Caenorhabditis elegans: one gene and its partner. The protein of the gene in region 1 purifies or fractionates together with the protein of each later gene. This does not show direct contact. Each region holds a gene or a part of one and is shown in the gene's direction. Other genes may lie near its edges.

Evidence for each region. Proteins that work in one complex are often made in the same cells at the same time.
Region 2: the proteins of epg-5 (region 1) and rep-1 fractionate together in Caenorhabditis elegans (co-fractionation; one large-scale study listed by BioGRID). This does not show direct contact.

The regions. Positions count from the first base shown.
Region 1 is NC_003280.10:6,606,348-6,611,206, reverse strand, and holds the start of epg-5 (Ectopic P granules protein 5), read left to right. Parts: upstream 1-1,841; 5' UTR 1,842-1,850; coding exon 1,851-1,964; intron 1,965-2,014; coding exon 2,015-2,076; intron 2,077-2,125; coding exon 2,126-2,225; intron 2,226-2,271; coding exon 2,272-2,529; intron 2,530-2,575; coding exon 2,576-3,179; intron 3,180-3,229; coding exon 3,230-3,363; intron 3,364-3,414; coding exon 3,415-3,802; intron 3,803-3,857; coding exon 3,858-3,916; intron 3,917-3,965; coding exon 3,966-4,042; intron 4,043-4,088; coding exon 4,089-4,381; intron 4,382-4,428; coding exon 4,429-4,553; intron 4,554-4,596; coding exon 4,597-4,859.
Region 2 is NC_003281.10:1,568,682-1,576,314, forward strand, and holds the start of rep-1 (Rab proteins geranylgeranyltransferase component A 1), read left to right. Parts: upstream 1-1,624; 5' UTR 1,625-1,642; coding exon 1,643-1,758; intron 1,759-2,742; coding exon 2,743-2,812; intron 2,813-2,862; coding exon 2,863-3,093; intron 3,094-3,871; coding exon 3,872-4,023; intron 4,024-4,118; coding exon 4,119-4,326; intron 4,327-5,065; coding exon 5,066-5,244; intron 5,245-5,545; coding exon 5,546-5,705; intron 5,706-6,266; coding exon 6,267-6,363; intron 6,364-6,412; coding exon 6,413-6,490; intron 6,491-6,651; exon of another isoform or gene 6,652-6,724; intron 6,725-6,748; exon of another isoform or gene 6,749-6,821; intron 6,822-7,093; exon of another isoform or gene 7,094-7,169; intron 7,170-7,190; exon of another isoform or gene 7,191-7,263; intron 7,264-7,399; coding exon 7,400-7,527; intron 7,528-7,633. Other genes in the region: Y67D2.2 (Ubiquitin carboxyl-terminal hydrolase), read left to right, coding at 1,075-1,170. UniProt on the Caenorhabditis elegans protein: Substrate-binding subunit of the Rab geranylgeranyltransferase (GGTase) complex. Binds unprenylated Rab proteins and presents the substrate peptide to the catalytic component B and remains bound to it after the geranylgeranyl transfer reaction.

The DNA.
Region 1 (4,859 bases):
ATCCTCAAAGAAAGCGTGAATTGTAGATGCCAGGTTTTTGATGAACAAATAAAAATTTATGAATTCCTTCGGATGGGGTCTTTGATGAACATAAATTAAAAGGGAGAAGCATGCTGAAATGAAAGTTACCATTTTTACAAAATTGCTTCAAAATTAGAACTGGATGTATTATTTAAACAAGCTTCCGGTGTTTGAAGAATTATTCATATTATTTAAATTTTAAATTAACTAGTTCAGGTTTTTTAATCCTTTTATATAATTGTCAGAAACTGTCAGGTTGCCCCACGTTCCAAATTTGACTCAAGGAAGGTAAAAAGACACTTGAATCTGGTACTAGAGTCGTTTTTGTGCCTATGTGAAAGACTATTCTTGGAGCTCTTCTTTCAAACATTTCGTGCATTTCTGCCAGAATTGTTCTGAATTCTGAAATCATTATGTACAAACATCTTTATCAAAATATTATCTTCATGTGATACGAAGCATGTCAAACTTATCTCCTGTAAAACGTTATCCAACTGTAGTCCAAACCATTTACCTACAATACAGTAACCAATTTCTTCAGACTAAACGCTTTCTAATGGTTTGCTCATTGATCGTCTCTCATTTGAATTGATATCCTGTTCAATTCAGATTCAAAATCTCATTAATCTCATGTCCGGATGATGTGGCAGATAAGCGAGGAAATGTTTCAATTGCGCAAGGACAAATCAACGATAAACTCATGTGTGAGTGTGCGAATTGAACGAAGAAATTGGTTTGGCAATCGTAGAAATTCACACTAACTGTCTATTAATTACCTGTCAAAAGTGTCTGGTTTCTCTCACGTTTTGTGTACTTTCTCGTAGATAAACCGTTTAGAGATTTGAAACATTCATTCACACTCCTAAAACTAACCAATGGACATTAAAAAATAAAGTTGCGATTTGGGAAAAAGGGATTTGCTTTTGGAAACTACAAAAATATTGCTCCGTGACATGATCCAAAAATATATAAATTGGAATGCTCCACGTAGTTTTTAAATATTAATGATAAACCTTATTTTTAATTTCAGCATTAATTTCAGAGATTGGCAAAAGGTGAGAGGCATTATTAAAAATAGCCTTCAAATGTTATTAGGTTTTCACAAAAGTAAACCATGTTGTTTCTAGATTTCGAAATTCATAAGATCTCGTTTGTTTCAAATCTACTATTCACGAAAACATAACGTATGTTGCAGACCATTCCCAGAAGGAAAAAACTATGAAAAAGAAAATATGTTTTTCTTTCGATTGTTTCCGAAATAAAATCCATTTTCAATCTAAGTTCCTGTTATAAATCATGTAGACATTGACGTTGAAATAGCAAAATGCTTGCACATCGTTTTCTTATCATTTCTCTTCTCGAAGCATTCTAACTATAAATTTATTTGTTTTTCAGTGTCAATGTCGTTATATTAAAAAAAAAATCATGGGACATTTTGTAAAAACTTTTTCAAAATAATAAATGTTCTCATCGAATCTATACTATAGTTATCAACTGTTCTCAATCGGTAGAGTGCTCGGGCTCCCGATCGATTTCACAAAAATGGTTTGGTCCGCAAACACGACGACGGACATTGCGTATTTGTCGTCATTTTCCCTCTTCACGTGCTGTGTTCAGTTCAATTCGGGTTTTTATTTGCCGTCAGACCACTTTTTTTCGTGACTCATACTAAAAAATGCAGAAATAGAGCAATTTATCCTGCTATACAGATTTTTTATATTTTCTAGTTGAAATCCTCGACTATTGAATTAATTTGTTGACTTCGTACTGTACTTGTCGCATTTCTTTTTATAAGAAAAATTAATAAAATATATTAATTTAGTTTCAAAATGGCGGAATTGGTTCGTCCAAAAAAGCCAAAACATCGAGAGCGAGCACAAAGTGATTATACACCCCCAATACCAGATCGTCCTGCAATTGTGAATGGTTTGAGACTCCCTGCGGTAATAACAATACCACTAAACTTTTTGTTTCATATTGATTTTATTTTCAGGCTCCATCACATACTATTGAGGATTTACCAGAAAGATCAGCATCACCGGAACCTGAAGATCAGTAAGTGGTAAAATAACGATTGAACTGAAAAATATGTATACGTTTCCAGGGATATAAGCTTGACCGAAGATTCCTTGAAACGCGAAGAAGCATCTGAACCTTTAAAAGATGTGAGAAGTAGTCCAGTTCGACCAGCCCCTCCACCACCAGTCAGTTGAAATTCTAAAACTCAAAATATGAATCATTTGTTTTCAGCGTGTTTCTCAAGAAAGAGAAGCTCCACCAATTCCTCCAAGAAGTATGATCTTTCCACGAAGTACCAGCATGGTTGCTGAATCTAGAAAAGAATCAACTACAGCGGTAGCACCAAAACGGAGTGTAGCAGTTGCTTCATATCCAGCTGTCCCCGAACTAGCCGAACTTCCATCCTATACTGATGCGCTTCAACATCCGCAAGTGTATCCTTCAATAAATGGAGGACTTCAGCATTCACACTCAGCTACTGCCATTCCAGTAAGTATTTAATCTGAAACCTTATTATTTTTCTTTATTTTTGTAGGAAAAAACACGATTTTCTGCACCAGTTGAGAGAGAGCGTGTACGAGAGGGAGAAGCTCCTCCGATGTATCCATCTATCAAAACTTACGAACGGAATGAACATGGTTTAATGACTGAAGAAAACTTGGTCACATTCTACCATAATCCCCTTTATGAGCACGCCGAAATGTTTGTTGATCAGTTTATTAAAACTGAGGAAGTACCAACTCAATCTGGATCTTTATTTCCACTCTTAGCTAGACTAAGAACAGTATGTGACCTAATGACTGTTAGTGAAGTGAAAGGAAAAGAGAATACAGAAGAATTGCAAAAATGTTTACGAGAATGTTGGGTTCAACAATCTCTTTCTGTTGATGCAAAAGGAAAATGTGGAGACAACAATGATGGTACAGGTAGAGCATCGTATTTTTCTTTTGAACTGCAACAGGCAGTACTGGATCAAATGAAGAAACTTCTCTCTACGAATCGAAGCAATCTGATGGATCATTCAGTTTGTGAAGAGACTTCGTTTAGATCAATTGCTCTACAAATTCAATGGCAGGTTATTATTATCAATAATAATTTCATGGCTGAAAACGGGTTGTCTACAAATTGTCCACCCAGTTGTGAGTTTATTATTTCAACAGCTTACTAGTTGAATATGAATGTATTTCAGTAATTGCCAGTGTACCTATGACACCGGGTAGAGTTGCTCTTCGCACTGCTCTTTCAGACATATTCTATCATCTTCGGTATCCAAGACTTTCAAAAAGATTTATAGATACACTTGTTGGATGGATCAAAGAATTGGTAAATCATTTCAAGTTCGTAATGTAACGTTTATGTAAAAAAATGTTTCAGACATGTGTGTTGAATATGCGTCAATCATGCGACGACGGTATATTCCTCCTTTGCCACCTTTTACGTCTTCCATCTCCAATTGATCAATGGGCTTCTCCATTTGTACAAACCTTCATTCAATCACAATCTGCTCCAAAGTTGAAGCTTGATTATTGTGTTGCACTTCTCACTCATCTCCTCAACCCAATCAAAGCTCGAGAATCTTTCCTTCGCCATGTTGCTCAATCTGAAAAAGAGGAGTCAACTTGGGAGATTCTTGCAGATGACGATGACGGTGAAGCAAATGAGTTTTCATTTGTCACAATCAACGAATCAGATCTAACTGCATTCCTTGATCAATTTCCGATTTCTGAGCTTTATTCAATTGCTTATCTTGCTTTCACTTCATGTAAGTTTCAAGTTGCAATTGTAAACTTAGACCGTTCAAATTTTCAAATTTTCAGACTCTGACAAAGGATCTCAATTTACTGCTATGATTGCATTCCAGCTCTTGCTCATGAAAGTAAGTATAGTAATATCTAAATTTATGATAGAAACATTGAATTTTTAAGATTCTTGATAATGGTTTGACAAGTTATTCTCAACCCGGATATAAAATGTTCTGTAAGCAAATTGGAATAAGTCTCAAGTGAGTTTGTTATCCTTTGGCTCCTAGATAATGTGTTTTCTTTCAGGCACAGCGTTCGGGAACTTTGCTCCAATTGGCGACTTATTCGAGATCAAGTTCGACCAGGCGAAGAGCATCATCTTCAGAAAGAAGTAGATCGAGTTGTACTTCTAGCTCTAAATTACTTGATTCATCAAGACACCCTTGGATTGTTCCAATTTGTGGTGTCGTTACCATATGCTGTGGTTTCCGAAGAATGTAGAAGCCGATGTGAATATGCTTTAAGATCGAATAAGAAAATGTCTATTCACGAGATTTATGATACACCAATTTGTGAAGTACGCGCCAGGATTAGTAGTCGTCAGTTTCTTTAGAGTAAACCAAAATAATAAACATATTAATTTCAGAAGGAATTTCAAAACGAATAGGTGCGCTTGGAGCTCAGGATTCAGAATTTCTTGTCAACTCATTGGCCTCAATTGGATCTTATTCAAATTCGGATGTTTCGCAACTTTTGAAAGAGCTTATTGATGTGAGATTGAACATTTTTAACTAAAAACTTTACATTTTTGCAGGTTTGCTTTTGTGATGAAGACACTCGAGATGATTTGTATAAATGTGGTGGTGAAGCAATTGGACAAATTCTTATAAAAAGACCTGAAACATTGCATCAATTGCTCACTATTATTGATCGAAATCTTCAGCATATGGATTCCTATGCAATCAATGTTTTATCATCATCACGACTTTTCGAATGTCGATTAACGGAACCAATGATAAGCATCATAGGAAAATGGCTCATTAATAATCCTCCAGAACACGGAGCAAATCGTCTTGC
Region 2 (7,633 bases), on another chromosome or scaffold:
TTTGACGACCAACCAAAAAAATTTTTTTTTGGGCGGATTTTTTTCCAAACTTCTGTTGTTTTCTAATAATCTAAACAAAGCAAAATCCGCACACAAAGCTCAATTGAAAACTGAAAAGAAGCGAGATCAGAAAAATGCCTGAAAAAATTGGCTCCGCGTTAGGACACTTGGGGTGGTCAAAAACTTTCGTGACTATTGTCAAGTGAAAGATCATGGTTGATAACGTAAATTCCCAAAGTTTCATAAAAATCGATACGCAGCGAACAAAGTTATGATTTTTGACCCGGAACTTATTTGGAGACCTAATATATATATACCAGCCGTTCGAACGCGCTGAAGCGCGTGCTCCGACTGGCGTACTCAAAATTGAAATCAAATTCTAAAATTTCTAAGCCTTTCTCTGTAGATGGAACGTTTTTTTTCTGTTTTCCGGAAGTTTTCGAGCAACATAAATATTATATAGCTGAGTGTTTACAACTAAAAAAAAACGTTTTTCAAATCATATAAAACTTTTTTCCGGTCCTTTCCGAGAGTTTTTGGCGAGCGTTTCTGGAAATTATAACAATTTTGATCTTTTTTTTTCAAATTATTGAAACTTCAGAATATTCTAGGAGTATCAAAACTTGAAGAAGTTTTTTTTTTTGAACTTTCCGAAAGGTTCTAGAAATTTGCAGGTTCCTGAAATTTTCCACGAAATTGAACACTTCAGAATTTTCCCGATTTCTCTAGAAAGTTTTGGAACATTCCAGAATTTTCTCGAATTTATTTTTCTCAGAAAATTTGAATTTCCAGTCAACGAAGAGCCTTTGTCACAAAAACGACATATTATTAAAATTCACAGAATTTCCTAAATATTCCCTTCCTAAACATTTTCTCGTGACCCATGTGCTTCTACTCGTATTGGTGGCATAAAAACTGTATTTATTCACAGTTTCAGTCTTAAATTGGCCGAAAATGTGAATAAATACCGTATTTCTGCCAACAATTTGACAATAGAGCACATTTGTCACTCGGAGATGCGGAAGCTATGCCCAAATTTTCATTTTTCCCCCGAAAACTTGTATAATTTTTCAGGTAACCCGTGTACCGTACTCCCACGTGGCAGCCTGTCAAAGTTATATGCTATTCTACGAACGTGTCAAACCTCATCGACTCTACGAAAGGATGTAATTTCTGGATTTTTATTGATTTTTTTGAGAAAATTTTTTTTTTGGAAATTTCGCAATTTTTTTCCCAAACAATTGATTTATTTTGTTGCTAGATTCCCCTTATTTTTTGTTGTAAATTTTAACATTTTAATGACACAACGTGTAGCATTTCCTTTAAAGTTTATTTTTTGTGCAAAAATTCAGAAAATTTGAAAAAAATATTATAACTCTTCCCCCCGTCCCGTGCCATTTTTGTTAAGTTTTGTGTGTGTGTGTGAAAATGAAGATTTTTCGTGTTTTTTCCACTTTTTTTAGTTAATTTTTAAAGGTTTTCAGCCGTAAATCAAATATTTTAATAGAAAAAAAAATTTTTTTTGGAAAATTTTCAAAAAAATTTTTTTTTTTTTTGGTTTTTTTCAATTTTTCAAATTTAAGCATGACATCTCTTATTTTCCAAAAATTCAAACTATTTCCAGCTTTTCCAGCTCTAAAAAATGGACGAAAAGTTGCCAGAATCAGTGGACGTAGTGGTGCTGGGCACCGGACTACCTGAAGCCATTCTGGCTTCAGCTTGTGCTCGAGCTGGCTTATCTGTGCTTCATTTAGATAGGTAATAGGCGAACTAACATTTAAAAAAAGTTTAAAAAAATGAATGAATGAAATTGAAAAAAAAAAAATTTTTGCGAAAAAAAAATTATTTTCGGCTAAATTTTTTTTTTAATCATAACTTTTCCTCAAAAATACAGCAAAATTCGAATTCTCCACGTCGCCAGCTTCAATTTGATCCCCAAATTGCCTATATTCCGCTGGTTTTGAAGTTTTCGGGTCCCGCCACGAAAACTCCTCGGGTTACTGTAGTTTTTCGCGGCGGGACCCAAAATAAACGGATTCTGGGCATGATGGGGGTCATTTTGAAGCTGAGAACCTGATGAATTCAAATATCACATTAATTTTCGGGAAAAATCAGAAAGTAAAAATTTTCTGACCAAGTTTGTGGAAAATTTTTCGGAAAACGTCAAAAGTTTCCAATTTTCGAAAAATGTCAGCCAACTGATATCATATTCGAGTTCTCCACGTCACTAGCTTTAAAATAACCCCCCACCATGTCCATATTCCATTGATTTTGATTTTTTTGGGTCCCGTCACGGGTTACTGTAGCACCGATTTCAGCTGTGTCGATTGTCAAAATACACCGAACCTAGGCGTGTTGGGGCTCATTTGAAAGCTAATAACGTTGAGAAATCAGATTAATTGTTCGTTTTCGGAAATATCGAAAATTAAACAAATTTTAAGAAAAAAAAATATATATTTGCCAAAACATTTTTCAATTTTCAGAAATTTAAAAAATCAGAATTCTTTCTGAAATCTTCACGTTACCAGCTTTCAAATGACCCCCATCATGCCCATATTCCGCCTACTTTGAGAATTTTGGGTCCCGCCACGCGGGTTACTGTAGCACCGATTTCAGCTGTGTCGGTTGTCAAAATGCACGGAACCTAGGCGTGTTGGGGGTCATTTGAAAGCTGATAACGTCTGGAATTCGAATTTCATACTCGATTTCTTGAAAAATTCGAAATAAAAAATATTTTTGCAGAAATGAGTACTACGGCGGTGATTGGTCATCATTCACAATGTCGATGGTTCATGAAGTGACTGAAAATCAGGTTTTTATTGATTTTCAGCCAGAAAAACCCCAAAATTTCCGAATTTTCAGGTAAAAAAGCTGGATTCCTCGGAGATTTCCAAGTTATCAGAGCTTTTGACTGAAAATGAGCAGCTCATTGAGCTCGGCAATCGAGAAATCGTGGAAAACATTGAAATGACGTGGATTCCACGTGGAAAAGACGAGGAAAAGCCGATGAAAACGCAACTGGAAGAGGCTTCACAAATGCGGCGATTTTCCATCGATTTAGTGCCGAAAATTCTACTTTCCAAGGGAGCAATGGTACAAAATTGCAAAATTACACCTAAATTGGAGAACTTGATGTTTTGCCCTAATAGTCATCAAAAAATCAATTTTTGCCAAAAAAAAAATTTTTTTTGAAACTTTTTTTCTGAAAAAAAAGAAAAATTTTTCTAAAAATTCAATTTCCTCATTTAAAACTCTGAAATTCGAATTCTCTACGCCACCAGCTGTCTAATGACACCCAACATGCCCAGGTTCCGACCGCTTTGAAAATTTTGGGTCTCGCCACGCGGGTTACTGTAGCATCGATTTCAGCTGTGTCGAGACTGCCAAAATTCAAAATCAACGGACCACGGACATGTTGGGGGTCATTTGAAAGCTGATAAAGTGGAGAATTCGAATTATTTGCTAGTTTTCTGAAATATCGAAAATTTAAAAAAATTGAAAAATATTTTCCAAAAAATTGTCAATTTTCAGAATATTCAAAAATTAACATTTTTTCCGAGATCTTCACATCACCAGCTTCAAAATGACCCCCATCATGCCCTGGTTCCATGCAATTTGATTTTTTTGGGTCTCGCCACGCGGGTTACTGTAGCACCGGCTTCAGCTGTGTCAAAACTTCCAAAAGTCAAAATCAACGGAGCCGGGGCATGTTGGGGGTCATTCGAAAGCTGAGAGCGTCGAAAAATTCGAATTTCCGCATTATTTTCAGATATTGAAAAGTTTGACAAAAATTTATGGGAAAATTTTGAAAATCTTGAAAAAAATTTGGAAAAAAAAAACGATTTTCTTCCAATTTTTTGAATTTTTTCAGGTTCAAACACTCTGTGACTCCCAAGTATCCCATTATGCCGAGTTTAAGCTTGTCAACCGGCAGCTATGCCCAACAGAGACCCCAGAAGCCGGAATTACCCTAAATCCGGTGCCATGTAGCAAAGGAGAGATTTTTCAGAGCAATGCTTTGTCGTAAGGGATTTTTTTAGGCTGAAAATCGATAAAATATCGATTTTCTTTGCCAAAAAAATCGATTCGCAATGATAAATCTCCAAAAATTCTTCCAGAATCCTGGAAAAGCGAGCTCTTATGAAATTCATCACATTCTGCACACAATGGAGCACAAAAGACACGGAAGAAGGCAGAAAACTGCTCGCCGAGCACGCCGACCGCCCGTTTTCAGAGTTTTTGGAGCAAATGGGCGTTGGAAAGACCCTGCAGAGCTTTATTATTAATACGATCGGCATTTTACAGCAAAGACCCACTGCGATGACGGTGAATATGCGGAAATTACTGTTTTTTAGAAAAAAATCTGAATTTCTAAAAAAATTGAAAATGAAAAAAAAATCCAAAATTTTTTTTTTTGCACGAAATTTACTTCAATTTTTTTCAAAATATTATTGAAAAATTTGAATTCTCGCCACTCTCAGCTTCAAAATGACCCCCAACATGCCCGGGGTCCGTTGATTTTGAGTTTTGGCAGTCTCGACACAGCTGAAACCGGTGCTACAGTACCCCGCGTGGCGAGACCCGAATTTTCAAAATCATCGGAACCCGGGCAGTATGGGGGTCTTTAGAAAGATGATGATGTGGAGGATTCGAGTTTTGAGTCGATTTGAAAAGAAATTTATAATTGAAAAAAATTTGAGCAAAAAATTATTTTTTTTTTCGAAAAAATGTTGATTTTGTCTATTTTGCTAAAAATTTTTGAAAAATTCAAATCTCTAACGCTTTCAGCTTTACAATGACCCCCATCATGCCCATTTTCCGTGCAGTTTGCGCTCCGACACAGCTGAAACCGGTGCTACAGTACCCCTCGTGGCGGGACCCAAAATTTTCAAAATCGATGGATCATGGGCATGATGGGTGTCATTTGGAAGCTGGTGATGTGGAGAATTCGAATTTCGAGTTGATTTTCATGTCAAATTTGAAATTGAAAAAAATTTTGAGAAAAACAAATTTTCAAAAAAAAAAAAAAATTTTTTTCAAAATTTAAAATTTTTCCAAATTCCAGGGAATGTTGGCATCATGCCAGTTCATGGATTCTGTCGGCCATTTCGGTCCATCGCCATTCCTCTTCCCACTCTACGGATGTGGAGAGCTCTCACAGTGCTTTTGCCGGCTGGCAGCAGTCTTTGGGAGCTTATATTGTCTGGGACGGCCTGTACAGGCTATCGTGAAAAAAGATGGAAAGTTAGTGAAGAGAATAAGCGAAAAATCAATAGTTTCTGCGAAATTTGACCTAATTTTCAAGTCAAATTCCCAGCAAAACTAGTTTTATACAATATTCCGTGACTCATGTGTTTCTACCCAGATTGATGGCATAAAAACTGTTTTTATTCACATTTTCAGCCTTAAATTGTGCTGAAAATGTGAATAAATACCGTATTTCTGCCAACAATTTGACAATAGAGCACATTTGTCACTCGGAGATGCGGAAGCTATGCCCAAATTTTCAATTTGTCGGAAAACCAATTTTCTCAAAAATTTCCAGAATTACGGCTGTAATTGCCAATGGAGATCGTGTAAATTGTCGCTACATCGTGATGTCCCCGAGATTTGTCCCCGAAACTGTTCCAGCTAGTAGTACGCTGAAAATCGAGAGAATCGTCTATGCGACGGATAAATCGATTAAAGAAGCCGAGAAAGAACAGGTTCCGGAGCATTTTTTGGAGTTTTCCACCAGGAAATTCGATTTTCCCGCAAAATTCCACTCTAGAATTCAATTTCCCCGGGCTTCTAGCTCAATGTTACAATTTTTGGGGTTACTGTAGCGCCAAAAGTACGTTGACCTCGGTGCTTGCGTACCTGAGACCGAATTTTACGAAATTGAGCTTAAATTGGCTGAAAATCATGTTCCGGGGTGAATTGGCAACGGGAAATTCGAATTTCGCATTGAAAACCACCTTGGTCAACTGGTTTTCGAGAAAAATTTAATTTTACTCGAGAAACCAGTGCTCCTAGTTGATTTTCAATGCAAAATTCGAATTCCCCGTTGCCAATTTACCCCGTAACTGAAATTTAAGCCAATTTGGGTTCAATTTCGTAAAATTCGGTGTCAGGTACGCAAACACCACGGGGGCATCGCGTACTTTTGGCGCTACAGTAACCCCGAAAATTTCAAAATTGAGCTAGAAGCCTGGGAAAAAATAATTCTAGAGTGAAATTTTGCGGGGATTTCGAATTTCGTATTAAAAATCCGAAAAAATTTTCAGCTAACCCTCCTCAATCTGGCATCTCTCCGGCCCGACGCCGCAGTCTCACGGCTTGTTGAAGTGGGCTTTGAAGCCTGTACGGCTCCGAAAGGACACTGTAAGCCCCCACGTTTTTTCCTAGAAAAATAAAGATTTTTTTTTTGCAGTTCTGGTGCATGCAACGGGTACCCAAGAAGGAGAAACAAGTGTCAAGACTATTGCAGAGAAGATTTTTGAAAAAAATGGTGATTTTCGCGGAATTTTTAGGGGGAAATTTTGAATTTCCACTACCGAAAACCTATTTTTCGCTTAAAATTTGAGAAACTTTCATGGAAAAGTCATTTCCAAGTGAATTTTCCCTAATTTTAGGTGAAAAATTCGAATTCTCCGCTATAAAAAACCTATATATCCCCACGGGGAATCGAACCCTGGACCTTTTGCTCCAAAGGCGAGCCGCTTAGCCACTGCGCCACGCGTTGCAGCTAACCAGTGATGCATGTTGCACCCCGTGGCGCAGTGGCTAACAGGCTTGACTTCGGAGCAAATGGTCCCGGGGTTCGAGTCCCCGCAGTGGTGTATAGGTTTTTCATAGCGAACATTTCGAATTTTTAACTTAAAATTCGCAAAAATTGAGTTACAACCTAGTTTCCTGAAATTTTCGCTCGAAAATGATACAAAATCCATTTTTTTGAACTATTAATATATGTTAAGCTTCAAAGTTCTAAAATAGAGACTCCAAGAGTTGAAATCTCAGCAAGGATTCAGTGAAATTTTGAGAAAAATTATTTCCAAGTGAATTTTCCCCAATTTTAAGTGAAAAATTCGAATTCTCCGCTATAAAAAACCTATACACCCCCACGGAGAATCGAACCCCGGACCTTTTGCTCCAAAGGCGAGCCGCTTAGCCACTGCGCCACGCGTTGCATCACGCGCCGCTGGTTCGGCGCACCGGTGGCGCAGTGGCTAACAGGCTTGACTTCGGAGCAAAAGGTCCGGGGTTCGAGTCCCCGTGGGAGTATTTAGGTTTTTCAGGGCGGAGATTTCGAATTTTTCACTTAAAATTCGCGAAAATTGGCTTGGAACCCGGTTTTTCTTTAATATTTTTGAGTTTTTCGATTTTTCCTAGAAAAATCGATATTTTTTCTGCATTTCAGAAGTGGAACCCTACTGGAAGATGAGCTTCACCGCGAATTCCATGAAATTCGACACCGCCGGAGCCGAAAATGTCGTCGTCGCGCCGCCAGTTGATGCGAATTTACACTATGCTAGTGTGGTGGAGGAGGTTAGGGCGAAAGAACGATGAAAATTGGATTTTTGAGCTGAAATTGAATTAGAAATTCAAATTAGAAAAAAAAATTTCGAAAAAATATAAAAATTAAAAAAAAAAA